Tribolium castaneum: one gene and its partner. The protein of the gene in region 2 purifies or fractionates together with the protein of the main gene of each other region. This does not show direct contact. Links are inferred from orthologs where the notes say so. Each region holds a gene or a part of one and is shown on either strand. Other genes may lie near its edges.

What was found.
Region 1: the proteins of centrosomin (region 2) and Sas-4 purify together in Drosophila melanogaster (affinity purification with western blotting; 5 studies listed by BioGRID, with this or other methods). This does not show direct contact. The link is inferred for Tribolium castaneum from reciprocal best matches to the Drosophila melanogaster genes cnn and Sas-4.

What each region holds. Positions count from the first base shown.
Region 1 is NC_087401.1:15,919,080-15,928,119, reverse strand, and holds Sas-4 (centromere protein J), read right to left. Parts: upstream 5,936-9,040; 5' UTR 5,878-5,935; coding exon 5,184-5,877; intron 5,069-5,183; coding exon 4,708-5,068; intron 4,663-4,707; coding exon 4,033-4,662; intron 3,985-4,032; coding exon 3,789-3,984; intron 3,743-3,788; coding exon 3,614-3,742; 3' UTR 3,584-3,613; downstream 1-3,583. Other genes in the region: uncharacterized protein LOC663019, read left to right, coding at 75-230, 370-561, 600-960, 997-1,035, 1,097-1,255, 1,310-1,565, 1,613-1,742, 1,788-2,012; mRpL44 (large ribosomal subunit protein mL44), read left to right, coding at 2,608-2,683, 2,730-3,166, 3,212-3,583; rhomboid-related protein 2, read left to right, coding at 6,538-6,660, 6,737-7,263, 7,315-7,528, 7,577-7,882; oocyte zinc finger protein XlCOF28, read left to right, coding at 8,205-8,338, 8,392-9,013.
Region 2 is NC_087398.1:12,873,744-12,882,873, reverse strand, and holds the start of centrosomin, read right to left. Parts: upstream 7,607-9,130; 5' UTR 7,452-7,606; coding exon 7,327-7,451; intron 1-7,326. UniProt on the Drosophila melanogaster protein: Core component of the centrosome throughout spermatogenesis. May participate in mitotic spindle assembly and the mechanics of morphogenesis through an interaction with microtubules, either directly or indirectly. Is a target of several homeotic genes.

The DNA of each region.
Region 1 (9,040 bases), on a different chromosome or scaffold from region 2:
TTTTGTTTACCAGTCAGCGATACCAACCGCCATAGTAACCTAAAATGAGTCAGTGATAAAAATCGGGGCGCAAGATGGGGAACCACCACGGACACGGCCCCCATAGCAAGTCGGGCGACTCCACGCCTACGTCCAACGGCTCGCGCAAAAGCATCTCGCGGACGGTCTCCAACCACGAAATCCAGGCCGACAAGCCGAGCGCACTTCTACCCGTGGAGAAGCTAACCAAAGTGAGTTTTACACCCAATAAACCACCCCCGTGTGGCTTTGCCCCGCAAAAACGCAAATTAGTGATAGGTTATTAAATTACAAGCCGTCATGTTGGTAGTGGCATTTGAGGTTAGGCGCCATTTTGAATTCAAATTGCAGATTTTGGCCGACAAATCGTTTGAGGAGGAGCACATTACCGGCATTTCCCTCAATGTTTTCACCAAGTGTTTGTTCCCGCGGTACCCCGTCTTGGCCGAGAAGCTCTACACGTACTTACTCACGGGGGCGAAGTCACGCAACACTTACATCGACATCCAGGGCTTCAAACTGCAATGCGAGAAATACCTATCGGTGAGTTTGGCACGTGTGGAGCCCCCTTACAGCCGCAGTTCCAGATTCTGGACGACGAAACGGTACGTGACACTTTCGTACGCATGTTTGGCACACAAGTGGAAGACGCTGGCGAGGTTATAACCCCCGAGGGGCTCCGCTCGCTCCTAATGTGCGCCTACCACGTCAGCATGGACCACTACTCCGAGGGCCCCCAGATGTGCCTCTCAATTAGCAAGACTTTGAAAGCTGTGGTTGATAGTTGCTTTCACACCAAAACCCAACTCTCAACCCAGTTTGTTTCCCATTGGCTGGCCGCCAATTGTCCCCGCCTCCTGCTCCCCCTACACAGATATCTAGTACATTCCTTAGCCACGTCGTGGCGCACTTTGGAAGACATGGAGAACGCCCCAGCCGCAGGTGAGTGCGTTAAGCGAACAACACTCATTTAATTAGATTTTAAAACACACGCTGCGAAAGATGAGGTTGAGGAAGGTAAATAAAAAATTACATAATTTGAGTAGTCACCAGGGGTGGTATTAAATTATTGTAATAGGTTTAGAGTTGGCCACGCCCGTCCTGGAGCAGGCCCCGCCCTTCAGCCAGAAACACCCCCACTTGCTGCACATGAGCATGTCGTGGCTGTTGGCAGGGGCCCTCCCACCTGTATTTTCACGCCCACAAAAAGCGCACTCGCCTAGCAACAGTGGCGTTGGTAATAGCCCGCATTTGTATTAGACCACACCCACTTAATGTCTGATTTGTCAAGGTCTGGCAAGCACCGCCTTTTTGACCAAACTCTTGTGCTCGGTGCCTTCTCATTGGGTGGTTTTGTACGACTCGGATAATGACGGTTTAGGGGCGAATCGTTTCCTACACCACGTGATGTCGTACAAAGGGCCCACTTTGTGTCTTTTGCGGGTCGAAGATGGCCAAGTTTTTTGTATTGCGTCACCGAATGAGTGGAGAGAATCCAATCATTATTGGGGTGGGGAGGACTCAGCTGTTTTTCAATTGTTACCAAAGTGAGTCATTGCCAACTGTTTTGGAAGTTTTCGAAATATTTTGTCAGGTTTGTGTTACTGGAAAAGGGGTCCAAAATGTTGTATTTAAATACCACGGTTCGGGGGTACCCTTATGGGTTACGGGCTGGGAAAGACCCACGTAGTCCCATAATCATAGTAGACGGTGGGTTTGAAAAGGTCAGTTGTTACGTCACAAATTCTCGTTTCTAATTCTCTCACTAGATGGAGTTTAAAAAAATACCCTACAGTTTGCTACGTATTGAAGTCTGGGGTTGTGGGGATCCCATAAGTCGGGAACAACAATTAGAAGTGAAAAAATGGGAAGTCAAGGAAGCCGAAAGACAAAGATGTGTCAAATTGAGCGCCGATGATTGGCTGGACCATCCAGATAGGTATCTGTTGGAGTTGGCTGGGCGGCCACAGTACCACCAAAACCAAACACAATAAGTATCAATTAAGTACTTAGAAATTTGTTAGAGTGATATTAAAGTTAGGCTAGGGACTGTTGTATTTATTCAAGTCTCACTCGCATTCAAAAGTATTGATACGTGCCTTGAGAAGACGGCTTTTCGATATTATTAGCTACTTAATTAAATTTAATCAACTTGCGTATTTCAAGCTACTTAATTCGTTTTATTCTTAACAGGGTGTTGTTCATTACAGTGTTCAAGCAGACATATTTTTATAAAAATGTTTGACCCAACGCGCGTTTTATTCACGCAAATTCATTCCCACTGTTTATTCCTTTAAAAAAAACATACAAATAAAAATATTTTTTTAAACAGACGTAACCTTAACCTAAAGTATATTTGGTTGCATAAACATCCGGTTTTGAGGCGATTTTTTGTAATTAATTGTTTAAAATTTACACAAATTGATCAATAAAATGTATCCAACCGTTTTACAATTAACGTTTTAATAAAAACTGTCCGCTATTTGGCAAAAATAGCCACAAACAACGTAACCCTGACCACTTCCAACCCAACCTAACCTCACTTAATCTAACACTATTAAAGTAATTGTGTGGTAACTGTGCCCCGAAATGTCTTTTTGTCGGCACGCGGCGCTCCGGGCGACCCGCCTGGTCCTGCGCCAGGTCCAAACGCCCCAAATAACCGGTAAGCCCCCCAACTAATATAACCCCCAAATCAAACATGTTTCAAGAAACTCGCAATATCAAGCGTTGGGTGGCCCCCGTGCTCAAACAACTGAAACGTCGGATGGACCAAGTGGGGCCCGAGGCCCCCACCCCACGCTCCAGTTACCTAGAATGGAACTACGAGGCTGAAATTTTCGCGTTTGGTAAACGACTAAGGGAAGAATTTGACCGTAAAGTACTGAAACAGGCGCTCACGCACCGGTCTTATGTCACTCGTGAGGAGGACAAGGCCAAGGAGAAGGGTTTAGAGTTTGAGACAATTGAGTGCAATCATCAATTGATTAAACAAGGGGGCGCGTTAATTTCGCAATGTGTGCGAAACGAGCTCGGGGGTAAGTACCCGAAGGACGTCGTGGAGGCGCTCCATGGCCACTTAACCACCGTTGATATGTTGGCACACGTGGGGCTGCATTTGGGGCTCAAGGATATCGTTCAGACAGCTGTGAGTGTCAAGTTAGGGGGTTGCGTTCTCTAGTTGGGTTTTTAGGAATTTCCCGTGGAAAATGAGACACTTGCTGACACGTTCAAGGCCGTGGTTGCCGCCTTGGAGGTGTCTCAAGGCCAGGAGAGGGTACAACTTTTCGTGAAAGATTTTTTGCTAAGTCAATTGAACGGTAAAGACGTTTACGATGTTTGGGCCCCCGATAGCCCCCTTGACTACTTGCGGTCGCTTTTGCCAAAGCAGGAGATTGAGTCCCGTTTGTGTAACAAATCGGCCGTTAATACAATTCTCGCAAATTATCAAGTGGGGCTATACTGTAATAAAAAATTGCTGGGGCTTGGATGGGGCGAAAGCGTCGAAATCGCCAAAGACACGGCCGCCCTGGACGCTATACAAAGACTCAGTTACGGAAAATAATCAATTAGTACCATAATACAATAAATAATATCATAAATGCGTGTCTAGAACCAATTTCCCGTTAGAATCCTTAATCCTCACACGCCCATTGGCATACTTCGTTTCCTGGGTCCCATCTCGGTACAAAATTTTAACAGTACCATCGGGATACTCGCGACTCTACAACCCAACCACGTGACAAATATTAAACCAATCAGGTGCCCACCTTGTATTCTTTTGTCTCGATTTCCTTTTGCCCATTGGCTAGAAGCAAAACCTTGTCGCCGTTTGGCGCAATTTTGACAATCGAGCCGTCGGTGTACTTAGTTTCCGTACCGCCGTCAGGTAGCGTTGTTTGCACAGCGCCATCTGGGAGCGTAATTTCGCACCTGCCGTCCGGAAAACGCCTCTCAATAACCCCCCTAAAAATCAAGTCAGTTGTGTTTGTTTTTTTTGTGAGCGGTGCCTACTCAGGAAATTCGACTACTTCCAAACCGTCGGCAAACGTAGTTTGGGTGATGTTACGATTGGTGAAAAAATATTTAACGGTTCCGTCCAATAAATTAGTTTCCTGGCGGTCACCATTGAAGAATTTAACAGTTATAAAGTTACCATCGGGTGACACTGTTTTAATATTGCCGTTGGGGTACGTCACTTGTGATTGGTTGGAGTTAAAGGCGCTCGTTTCTGATTGGTTGGCACCGCCGTTGTTGCATTCGTCCGCTAGAGGGGGTGCCATGACCAGAAACGACTCACTCTGATCCAGCATTACATTTTTTTCGTGATTTTTTGCCTGGTTTGTTAGTTTAGTTATGTTTTTGTTGATTTCGTGCAAAATTTTCGAATCGGATGATTTTCTGTTCAGTTTTTGCGTTGCTGAAAGTTTGGCGTTTTCTTTCGTTAATTTTTCAATTTCAGTCTTGAGTTGCGAATTTTCCTTTTCGAGTTGTTTGATTTGGTTGCGAAGGCGGGCTTGGGTCATTCCGTTTTTTGACTCTTTTAGCTTTAAAGTTTCACTCAAATCGGCCACTTCTTGCTTCAAGTTGCTTATTTCTTGCCGTTCTTTTTTGTTTGGGCGATTTTGTGACTCTTTCATGAACCTAAAACATTTTTTTTAATACGAGAAGTGGAAGGTTGAGACAAACATTTGAAACGCCTGTCGTTCTTTTGCAAGTTTTTTTCGTTCAATGTCCGCTTCGTACTCAAAATTCGCTCTTTGGTCCTCAAATTCGTGCTTGCGTTTTAAAAAATCGCGCTCTTTTTGCTCCAACTGTTTTCGTAGCTCACTTATCCGGTTTTTATCCTCAATTAAATCATTGAGTTTGTCGTCGTATTCAATAATTTTTTTCTTGAGTTTATCACCACAAATTGCACAATCATTGCTTGCCTCAGTCCCAACTCCTATATCACGTTTTGGGGCTGTCAGAGTCTCCTCTAAATCCCCCGATGAGACACTTGAAACCTCACTACTGGTCCACTTGTCCTCATCAGAAGCCTCAATAATCGCTAAAATGGAAAAAATCGCTCAAGAATTATATTATACGAGTGACGAAGTCCCGTGTATAATACAACATTTTTTCTATAACAAGACTTCAATTTTAAATAAAAAAAAAACACTAACAGGGTACATCGGGGGGCTTCATCCGTCCCTCGGCCAAATTCTTAAGCCTCAATAAAATCTCCGCAATGTCTTTGCGCTCCAACTCAGTCTCTATCACATCATCGCCCCCTTTTTTACTCGGAGTGCTTGACAAAATCCTCACAACGCTAGAATTCGTTGAACAAAAGCTACTATTCTCGGCCTTTTCCTCCAAAGCCTCAAAAATCCTCAACTCCTTCTCTAGCGCCTTCTCGTACAGTGTTTGCTCGCCGGGGGGCCCCCACGTGGCCTTGGGCCTCACCACCAAATCGGGGGCCCTCAGAGGAGTCACATTATCATTTTCTTTCTCCCCTTTCGATTTTTTAATCAATTTGGGGCGCGTTTTCATGCGGAAACGCTCCAAACCGGCCCCCTTTTTTAAAAAGGGGCGTTTCGGTTTAGGGGGCGCAGCCCCAGGGCCCGGATCAAGAGCGAGTTTTTCTTCAAGTAGTTCGTGGAAGGTTTTCGTGGGGGAAATTACCTGACTCTCCCAGTTTTTACGGGAGTGTTCGTTTGAGGAGTCAAAGGCTGAAAGACCGTCAATGGTTTGGTAGTCCGATAATGTGGTCGCGTTTGCACTGGTGTTGATAATTGTTTTTTTGAGTAAATCCTCGTGGCTTTCTTGCCATTTTTTGAGTTCGGCCAAGCGTTGGAGGAGGTTTGGTGAAAGTGGCATTTTTTTTAAGGTTAGGGACGGTTGACAGCGATTTAAATTTAAATCTGGGGGAATCGCTGCCAACGTGAGCAGTACCACCGTCAAAAATGAAGTTACTGTGTTTTTTTTAAGTTTTTTCGAGTAATTTGGGGCGAAAAGAGCAATTTTTGCCGTTTTTTTTATTGGGAAATTGTTATTTGGGTTTGGATGTGCGGGTTTACCGATTAATTGTGCCGTAATTTATGGTCAGTTTTATGCGCCATTTTGTCGGCTCTAAAGGCGGGGAATTTGAATAAAACAAACGTGCGTTACTTTTTTTGTATTTATTGTGATAAAAGGATGCACACAAGCTAATTTAATGTTTACACACAATTACCACACGTATCGGTGTAGCGTAGATAAGCGATTAGTGCGATAAATAACCTTGACGTGATTCATCAAGGAAATTCCGGTACCCACTTAATTTTTTTTCTAATCAACTATACAACAAAAGTCAAAGGCCACTTCTTTCACCAGCTATTTAAACCAAACTATCTAGTGTAACAACTGACAGTCGTAATAATCACAACAATGCCAAAAAACCTGGATAAATTTTTGACATTCCGGGAAATTGGGGAACGCCTATTGATATCTAATCTTATCTAAACAAAAATTTGAATACGCCTTGAGACCGCAAAAACCATGGCTTCGAACAGGTCGCTTCACCTGGACCTGGAATTAAGAACTAGGGATGAATCCCAAATTCCCCTCAACCACACCCCTACGTCACCCACGGACCAATACTATCGCAGTATTTTTGACAGGGTGAGTACCCACAACCCGGCCTTAAAGAATAAAAAAAAATGCTGAATTTTCTCTATATTTTTATTTGGTAAAGTAGTCAGGTCAGGTCAGGTCAGGTCAGGTCAGGTACATTTTTTTTAAGGCTGACACTAACAAGGACGGGGTAGTGACCCCCAACGAGCTCGAGCGGGTGGTGGACCGCTTGAGCCTCACCGATGAGCCCCCACCGCAACAACTAATCCGCCAAATCCACCAAATGGCCGACAAGAACCAAGATGGTGGACTAGATTATGGGGAATTTGTCACAATGATAAAAACACAGCCCCTCTTTAAGAAAGTTGTAACCCGTTATGTGAATTTCATCCTCCCGAGGAAAAAACAGGGGGCTGTGGCCACCCAAGTCGACGGTGCCGGCGAATACGAAGACCAGTACAAATTTTGCCCGCCAAAAATCGGAATGATCACAATTTCAATCATCGAGTTGATTTTTTTCGCCATTGATGAATACCGTGAACGCAACTCCACCCTATTTGCCGCTGGACCAATGGCCCAATTGTTTATTTACGACCCGGAACGGCGTTACGAGGCTTGGCGCTACCTCACTTACATGTTCGTGCACATTGGGTGAGTTGGTAACAATGTGTGTGAATCACCCAACTGGGGATTTTGATTTAGCTACTTGCATTTGGTGGTGAATCTAGTAGTCCAGGTTTTTTTGGGGATTCCCCTCGAAATGGTGCATGATTGGTGGCGCGTTCTTTTAGTTTACGTCACGGGAGTGGTTGCCGGTTCGCTCGGGACGTCAATCACTGATCCCAGGGCTAAGTTGGCCGGGGCCAGCGGGGGGGTTTACTCGCTCATCACGGCACATATTGCCACCATAATTATGGTAAAACTTCAAACACTGTAGTAGTGTTCAAACAGTTGATTTTTACAGAATTGGCACGAGATGAGCATGCCGTTCGTCCAACTGGCGATTTTTTTGCTCATTACGGGGGTTGATGTGGGGACTTCGATTTATAACAGGTATTGGGCCAACTTGGATGAGCCCATTGGGTACATGGCGCATTTTTCGGGGGCTTTGGCCGGGCTTTTGGTCGGTATTTGTGTTCTCAAGAATTTGCAAATCACCAAAAAGGAGAATATTATTTGGTGGGTGTCCATTGCGGTGTATTTGGCCCTGATGGTGGGGGCCGTCGTGTGGAACATTTTCTACAGTGATTATTTCCCCACACAGAAGTAATTTTGTACCGATTTTTGTAATAAAACTTGATCAAAATCAAATTCTTAGTGACTTTGGTGTTGCACTGTTGGCAACGCCACGACTCACTAAAGTGTTTTTCCCCAGTCTTTGCCACGATTTTTGCTAATTAGCGGTTTAAGCGCCCACAGGACGTTAATTTGTATTTAGTTTTCGCGTGTTTGCTAGTTAAAGCACAGATCAACCTCTCTAATCTGTGGTTAAAGTGTCAGTGTTTGGTTCAGTGTTGGTGGCCGTGGCTGTCAGTGCCATAACCTCAAATTTCGTCCGTTTTTTTATAATTTGTTATTAATGTTTTTGTGCAATGACGTGCGTGTTTGTGGACGAGGATTTCACACTTGACGTGGTCGAAGACTCCTCGGTGTGTTACGACGATCCTGAAACAATTGCCGAGCCCAACATTCAGGATTTTCTCCACTCTGAAGACCACCGCCCTGAGTCCGAAACGTCGGTAAAATCGCAATTCCGCTCAATTAACGCTCAAATTGCAGTGAATTGGAGGAGGACCCCTTTCGGGGGTACACCTGCCAGATCTGTTCGTTTTCAACCAAACACAAGTTGATTTATTTCAACCACATTGAGTCCCACCAGCACTCAAACTCGCCCCTTATTTGTAAATATTGCAATGAGACGTTTAAAAGTCGAAAGACTTTCCAGGAGCACCGCTTCGGTTGCAGCAAAAACAAATTGCCAGTGTATCAGTGCACACATTGCTCGTTTAAAACACTGAAAAGCCAGTCTTTTCGCAAGCATGCAAGTGCGTGTTCGAACAAGACACGGAAGTGTAAAAAGTGCGGTTTTGTAACGAAATTGGCCTCGGAAATGATGCTTCATAGGCGGGAAAAACACCCATTTGTGCGAAGTTTTTCCTGCACAGATTGCGATTTTAAGACAGGGGTGAAGGCACAATTGACGGCACATTGCCAGGAAGTGCACCCACGGCCCTACAAGTGCAAGTTCTGTGAGGTTGTCTCACAGGGCAAGAAGGAATGTTTCACACATCGGAGGCTCCACAGCAAGTTTCTGTGCAGTCAGTGTGTGTATAGCACTTCAAATAAGGGCCATTTTCAGCGACATTTAGCGCTTTGTAATAAATCAAAGTTAGGTAAATAAAAAAAACGCAGTGTGTATATTATAAAT
Region 2 (9,130 bases):
CAACCAGTTCTACGGAATTTCCTAGATTTAAACTGTCACAGGCGTCGCGACGCTTCCAGGGACGCTTACAGGAAGCATCCCACTGTATGAAATGCGGGACGAATTTTCGGGCTCTTGTAGGTTCAACGAACTAAAGAAATGTGTGTGAATTCACTAACGTCGTCAACTAGTACAGACGTCGCGATGCAGGTTGCATCGATAGTAGCGTAGCGTAGTAGATAGAAATTTATAAATAGGAATAGGTTTAAAATGCGACATTTAATACTTGAATGGTTAGGGATGAACATTAACTATACGACTTGTTACACAGTCGTGTGTTAAACACATGTGGTGGTACTATCGGAAAGTAAACAATGCATCTACGAAAAAAAACATCCGTTGAGCGTTATTTATAAACACCCATGAAATGAGCGGACGGTTAAGTGACAGTTCATGGTTGATACGACAGAAATCGAATCAAAATTTGACCACAATTGAACAGACCTAAGAAAAAAAATGCATAATTAAATAGATGTAGCGTTAAAAAGTCAATAAAAATAAAAATCAAATGTAGGGCCATTTTTGAAACGCAAAATAACAGCTAATTTGAACACGTGCAAAATCCATCACAATGGCCTTTGATGAACCGATTTTTGTACAGAAGCGTAATTATCGCAAATTACAAACATATGCTTATCAAATATCAGGAAAATCTTTGGACCGGCGGCAATTTTAGCAACTCACTACTTTACTAACTTTGAAAGTACTCAACCACTTTAAATAATCCTGTCAGGAGAGCTGGTGCCGAGGTGTCGGGGTCAGGTCATCAATTTTAGTTAAGACAACGTCTGAAAAATAAAATGGGGGTGTGAGTAATCCAGTCCATCAGAGTGAGACGTCCACAATCGCCATTTGTGAACCAATAAATGTAACAGTCGTTAACCCAAAATAATTATGCAAATCTACCATCAATAAAATATGTAATTCGAATAGAATCGGTTGAGCTCTGTCCAAGGGGTTCAAAAGGTTAACAGTCGCAGTCCTGGTCAATAGGACTCCAGGAGCATAGGGGGAAACCAGGCAAAGGGTTACCCCTTTGCTCATAGATACCATCCAGCCCGCTTGTCTCTGGATCAGCAGCAATCGAGAGACCACCTCGCGGTTCTGACGTGCAATAGGCAACGCTGCCTTGTCATCCACCACTTGTCTTAGGTTGTGCAATGAGTACCCCGGTAATATCCGTCCAGCGTCTACTTCGAGACCCGCAGGTCATTCAACACCAAGCGTGCAATGGATATTATGTTCATGGTACTCGCCTATGACCAACATAAAAAGGGGGCGGTTCCGGGCAGTGCAATGATCACCTTTTTGGCCAACCTGCTCAGCCGCTAATCAAACATAGCCCTAAGCGTGCAATGGAGGCCCTCTTCATAGTGCAGGTGGTGAACAAGTCCCTATAAACCTCATGGCCGCAGCCGTATCTCAGGGGCGGTTCCGGGCAGTGCAATGAACACCTTTTTGGCTAACCTGCTCAACTGCTAATCACACATAGCCCTGAGCGTGCAATGGAAGCCCTCTTCATAGTGCAGGTGGTGAACAAGTCCCTTAACCTCATAGCCGAAGCCGTCTCACGGACCAACGAGCAAGTGCAATGATCACCTTCCAGCGCTCTCCCCACGACCTATTCTGCAACCTAGACCTGGGGGTGCAATGAACGCGGCTGCCTAGTGATCCCCCGCGTCCACAAATAAACATAAACCAGACCTGGAGGCCTCGCGACGCCGCGACCCTCCAGCGTCCCCTGTTGGGTTAATCTCGGCGTGCAATGGGCATTTTCGAGCGCCGCCCCGCCTCAAGCTTAACCGTGGATTAATTAAGGATAGACAGACTAACAAAGTTTAGCTCGACATGTCGGGGCTCAACTCAATCTTATTCATAGTTCGTCAACTCTCAATTCAATATCATTCTCATCAAATATCACCAACTTTAGTATCAACCAATTAAATAAACTATCAACTGATGAATAGCGCATTGATTCAACTTCAGTTTGATATTGTACTCAATACTCACGCAGGTTTTTGATGAACGTTATCAACAATTATAAATATCAACACCGCAGCAATTAAAATAATAAGTGAACGACTCACCCTACCGTTGATATGGTAATTATCATAAATCTCTACACCTTATTGGATTGAAAAACCTCACACACCAACAAACTGGGATTACTCAGTGACAACTCACCTTGATTCACTTAAGCAATTACTTTAAGTCACTCTAACTTGGAACTGACTCTAGCTCACACTACCCCTCTAAAGTGTGGGTGAAAACTAAAAACTCATATGCAAAATTGCATATTCGAAGGCGTCTTACTCACGGTCGACTTGGGGTGGTCTGCTTGTCACCCTGACTAGCTAATAAATTAGGCTCAAGTGTTTATGTTTCTCGAAATAAAAGTCTCGGGGTCTTTTCGGAGCTTTACTGACTAATTACCCTAATTATCTACATGCTAATCTATGACGAAAAGTAAAAAAAAAACAAACTACCAATAAATTAAAATATAAAATTAAAAAAAAAAAATTATGACCGCTCGGACTTCATCCTACACAAACTACAGAAACAGATGGACTTGTTCTGTTTTATTTTACTTCCTACTTTAATGTGGCCACGTTATCTAACAAAAACATGAACCAAGTTAAAAATACTCAAATACTTACAGTGGTGGCTCAAATACATTAGTTCCAGAGTAAAACCACTGTAAAAAACAAATAAAAACGTGAAGTATGTGTTTACGCATATGTGAGTAAGACTTTTTTGAACAAATTCTGATAAAAAAATAAACAAAGGCTCGTACATACATCAACAGTGAGAAGCAATACGCGTTAGCAGTGAACGCACTTAATTATTTCAGTTCAGTTTCAATTCTACTTAAAAAAATTAAAAGGAGAGAAAAATCGAAAACGACTAACGATATATTTGGGTTTCTGATTCATGCACTGCAATGAACTTGATCTTTGATGACACCAAAGCCTGTCATTCCATTTGTTACATAATTTCTTTCTAAATATAAATCAATCACTTCTGTGGTGGCAAGTAATACACCCATTCACACAGGAAATTCATTTAAACGGAACAGAAATAAATACAATAATTAAGCGAAGCGGATAAGACCCATTATATTTTTCTAGCACATTATTCTTTTGTATAATTAAGAAGAATTAAAAGTCGTACCAATGCCTAATTGCACCACTAAACTTTGACCTAGCACACAGATAAAAACCATCATTAAAATAAATACAGCAAACAATGCCGATTAAAACTAATTGTACGTTTGTTTAATGAAACATAATACTGAGAAAACAATTCGATATCCTCGAGAACGTCCCAAAAATGTAAAGTGCTTATATATAAAGTAAATGCTATTAGCATCAATCCCATTATGTCAAGTTAGAAGAATTGTAGATTCCTTTCAAGAGCAAGTGGGTGATTTAACAAGGCCACCGCCCCCTTATTTGCACATAAATTTATTTAGCAACAGTAATATAGACGGATAATCATTTTGAACGGACAGGTCAGAGATCGCCAAAGTTTAGCAACCTTTAAGGATTATCTTACACAATACAGGGTGTCTCAGCTAAGACTTTCGAGCCTGATATCTCAGACATTTCTCAACGGGTTTTTATGAAATTTAAAATGCATATATTTTAGAAGATAAAGATTAAAATCCAATTAATGCAACAACTCAAGCATTAAAAACGTAATTTTTACATGCCTTTTTAAAATGTTAAGCCTTTTAAGATTTATATTAAAAAAAAATATCGTCAGTGAAAAATGCTGTCAGAAAAAACTCGTTTGTGGAAGAAGTCTGTTTCGCGAGAAAAATGAGAAACAAACTGTTAAACGTGGGTTCAGATGCAAAAGCGTAGATCTCTATGAGACAAATGAGCACTACCATTGAATTTTGGTCAATCCTACTCGCAGAAACGTAACTGTCACGCAAGGGACATTTCACAATTATCTCTCACCCATATAAAGTTAAAAAACAATACTTTTGGTACTGGATGCTTTAATTCTTTCAAAAAAGATTAAAAGACTGAACAACAACTGAAAAATTCTAGACACTTGAACATTCAGGACTTTGGAAATGTTTCGTACACTACTGATTGGATTCTCTTCAAAAGCTTGAATTACAGCTCTAACTATTGCTTCGTTTCCAGTGACGTGTTTTGTCCTCACTCGATTTAGTTCAAATACACTTCCTGTGTCTTTAAATTAATGACGATTTTTTTAACTTTAAATTTCAAAAATAACATTTCACAAAAAGTCCAACGACACTTTCCATAGGCAAATATTGATTCCTTTTTCAACAACACAGAAATTTCTGCCACTTGTTGGTTTTTAAAGTAATTTCACCAAATTAAAACAATTTTACTTTTCTGACAATGCGCACACTTTTGGTAGTTTTTTTCAGTGGTACACATAATGCCGCATAGAAATGCTTCATCAATTGTTTCAAAAGGTGACTGCCCAAATTACTATCAAAATTTGAATAAGTTTTTAACAACAAAATTTAATTTTTTTCTTGGATCAGCTGAGCGATTTGGTTAATTTTTTGTGTGGCCATTTATTTTTCGGGGTTTAATGATTCAACGGTAATTTGGCTTAATTTTAAATAAAAGAAATGTGTTTTAAAATTTCATTTTTTAACTAGAGATCATTTTTTTGTCCCTAATTGAAAGACCACCGAAAATATGTGCATTCTAAATTTCATAACAATCCGTTAATCTTATTGATTGGAAGCACTCGAATAGGCATTAGAAAGTTTCAAAATTCGAACAAACAGTCTTATCTTTCTTAGTAATCCATTTGAGGAAAATAAACATGCGGTAGCAACCCTTCCCTGAGTTATTTTAATAACCTCTCTTACAAAGAAAGCTTTAATCACTTTGTAATTCTAGTCAACACTTAATCCCCGATAAAGATTAAGTATCCTTCTTGAAAACATTCTCTTGTTTCGCGTTCCACCGACACCAGCTGGCCAATTCAGGAAAACGCCCGCTAACGTAATCAAACATAAACAAACATCACTCTCCTCTAGTTTGAATTACGTTATCCACAAATGTAAACATTTACATTTATTTAGTATTGTGCTCAAGCCCTTGTTGACCGAACCAAAATTGATAAATAGGGTTTATTCTTATTACGCCAACAAGGGAACAACCTGACGGTTTATGACTTCTGGCTAGTCATAATAAAATGTGACTGAGTTACAAACTGTGGAGAATAATAAAACAAATCGACTGAAATTTCAAGTTTACACATGGCGAAAATTTAGGCAAATATGTGTCTAAATAATAAACCTTGAGAGATATTTATTTCACATTTTCCAAATATGTGCTCACAATTTTCCTGATTTATTTGAACAAAACACCACACGTGTTTGTAACTGAAGTCAAAACATCCCTAATATACAACTTCCTTAGAGATACTCGATGTTTGTCTTCCGCTTTGTTGGAGAAACAGTTCAGTAGCAAATAGAGATAAATGAGAGGCAACAACAATTTTGGATGAGTTTTGTCGACTGAACTGATTATGCAATTTGTTGTTGATTGAAAAAAGGCGCAGCAGTGTTTGTTTTTAAAACCAGACAAATCCCAGTTTATCAAAATCTAAATGTAAGTTTTTCATCTTGTGCGGTAGAATATCTCACCCTCGATCCTTTGAAGTATCCATTACACACAGCCATGTTTTTATGCCCCCTTTATCTCACTTCCTAAGCACAGACAAGACAACTATAATTAATTTTAGGCCCATCCAGCTACGTAAAAAACGTAGACTAAAATAATAACGATCTTAAAATGAACATGAAAAAAAAAGTAAAGAAGGTAAATGACACGTGCCGACAGAAAAGATAAAGACAAAGGTGCACTGAATAAACACTTCTTGATTTAATGCGAGCTAGGGACTGTATAAACATTACAAGTTAATGATTTAATTGGCCATTAAAGAATCGGTTCCATATTTGAACGAAGGTGTACACTGTAAACAATGAAAATTACAAGGTGTGTGTGCAGGTGTACTAAAATTGTAAAACTGTCTTAAAAATAAATTATGCATTTTTCGCTTCGCCATATAAAGTAAATTCTTATCTTTATTTTCCTATGACTGTTCCCACGACTTTACGCAACTTTCCCAAAGTAGGAAAACCGATTACAACAAACTGCAGTCTGATATTATTTCATTCAGAACGCGTCATCGCCAGCCGTATTTTAATTCAGATGCAGTCAAGTCACATAAATTATCTCATCGCTCCAGATAAGCCTCGTATTTCCTTCAACAACAAAAAATATTTCCTTTCAGCATCGAGAAAACGTGCCATCTGCTCGACGTCCCCATTAAAATGTCAACTTTTTCTGATAAAGACATCCGTAAATGGCCAAGAAAAGCGCTTTCTGTTCGTGTCGTTAATATCGACAAGGGCATTTTCATTTAGTTTATTAATTCGTCGGCGGCTATCGCCTACTTGAAAAGTTGAGCGCACTGTTTTCGGGTCGAGTGGTGAAAACGGGGTAGTGGAAATGCACGTGCAATTGATTTTTCCACGTGATGTTCAATCTGGGTCAGAGTTGAGGGCATGTGGGCGAACAGATAGAAGAGACCGTGGGTTCAGGTGGTGATAGGGTTATCAACGACATGGGGGCCAGCAAATTGTACCACAGAAATTAACATTTGTGTTAAAAGCTCAAAAAGTTTCAATTTTTGAAATCGGATGTAATTTTTATTTTATTTTTTGGCTATTTGAAAACGGATTTTGAAATACAAATAAAAAATAAAAATAGAAATTATCCTAAAAAACTTCATTTAATTTAATTTATTAGAAAAGACGCATTTCCATTTGTAGACTTGTTTAATAGTAATCCAACAATTATTTTAAATTTTGTGGCAAAATTAGAGATTTCTGATTATTTGGAATGTTGTTGCAAATCGGAAATGTTTATTATTTCCGAGAATGTAACAAAAATGCACGTGTGTTCGTTACAACCGACTCATAGACCACTTTTGTATATATTTTAAACGTTAAAAACCTTGTCCGTTATCACGGAGTTCCACTGTATAAACATAATTATAGAATAAATAGTTAAATAATTATTCATTATTAAATTTATTTTGTTAGCAAATTAGGTACAAATTGGATTTTTTCAACCCTCATCAAAAACTTGATTCAGTTTTGACCTGCGCTGGAATTTTCCTCCCCTTCGCATCCCAAAGACGATGACTAAACCCACTACAAACTACAACAACCCCTCAGCATTTCCGAGCAGTAGCCAAACACTTGGCAAAACTTACCAAAAAGGACTTGTAGGGGACGGAATAATTAAAGGCCTCGAAGGCGGGCTGTGAAATCCACTATAATTAAAGAACGACATGATTTCAAGCACTTGAAAATTTATGCCACTATTACGAGCGTCCATAAACCGAAGTTATTTTTAAGGGGGCATTTTTTCTTTGCCCTTCTTGTCTCACTTTAAAACGTGAAATTAAAATTAATAATAAACTTTTCGTAGTCACAACAAACCGGCGCACTTTACCACCACTCTATCCTCTCTACACTTCTCCACTGAAATGTTTGGATTCGCTTGACGCAGCCTCAGGTCGTGGATGGACCATGCGTGCGCTGCCTAGTTTCGACAAACTACACTCAAAATGTCTCAAATCTAATCCGTGTGTATGACAAAGACACAAAATCGAGGAAGAGATTGTTTTGGCCAAAGTTGTGGTTTGAGGTGTATCGATTTCGGGGGAAAAACACGTGGGCGAGCATCTTATTACGCAAAAATAAATTTTTAAAATTAATGGGAAATTGTAGCATGTATGAAGAGCTCTTAAAGCGAAATGACGTTAGATTTTCTTTTCATCATTAATTATTAATTAATCAGTGGTGGCTATAAAATCGTCAACGTGATTCACTGATTCCTACTTTAACTTTCAGGAAATTAAACAAATTTTTTCTGATTCAAAGTTTTTATCAAAAAACCCATTCCCAACCTATTCTTTAATATTAATTTATTATTACTTCATTACTACTTAAAAAAACTGAGTAAAAGTTTCTAGTTTATAGAAATGGGAATTTCGGATAATAATGATAATTTATAATGATAACATTGATAACAGAGTGAATAACTTTTAATCACTGTTTATATTTATTTTAATGTAAATTTTCATTTCCACTCAATTTCAGTCACTTCTGTATTTAGAGCTTATTCCAAATCTGGTGGCGAAGTGACATTGCCAAAAGTAACAGAATTTTGGCATTAAACATGTTCTTTCTATTCGGAAATAAAATTAACTAGACGCCCTCTGGTGATGACTTTTGAACTATGTCGAAAACAGTAACGAAATTTTCGTAATTCCACATTTAATTGACATCTAATAAATTGTTGAGCAATTTTGCGTGTATAGTGTTAATTGCTTACATTGGAGAGAATCACTTTAAAAGTACGTGGTGGTAAATACTAGCTTTGACTTTGGTTCTGCGGTTTTTCGTGGTATAAAGTGTTTGTTGTTGGAATTTGAAAGTGGATAAAAAGTGTAAAAGATTTAAATTTTTATTACAAAGTGTTATCAAACAGTTGTCTAATTAAAGACTATAGTAATGGATCACTGCGAACACAAAGTTGGGCTCAAGAAACCAATAAATTAGTGAAGTTTGTGAATTTTAGGTTAGAATTTTTCCACTGATAAAATCATGAAATACTTCGATAAATCAACAAAACTACAACTAAAATTAACAACTGCTAATACACTTAAACGTAAATTATGCCAAAAGGTGGGCTTTTCAATGTCTTTGTAATAATTTTTCAATAAAGAAAGTGAACCAAAAAGTCATTCATTATTCGTGTTTTCCTCGTCATCTCCAATTTGTCAACATTCGTTTCTTCCACCAAAGATACAATAGTCATTCCGCATTGGCAATGTAATAATTGTGAAGCCTCAAAATTCGTACAACGCTCAAAATATCCGAATAAACATTTTCCCGCCATTTATGGTTACTGTTTTCGACCTAGCTCAGTGGCGCCCCCAACGGTAACTTTACTTCCGAATTAAATAAAATAATGCCCATAGGCGTCGTAATAAAATAATTTTTAAACCC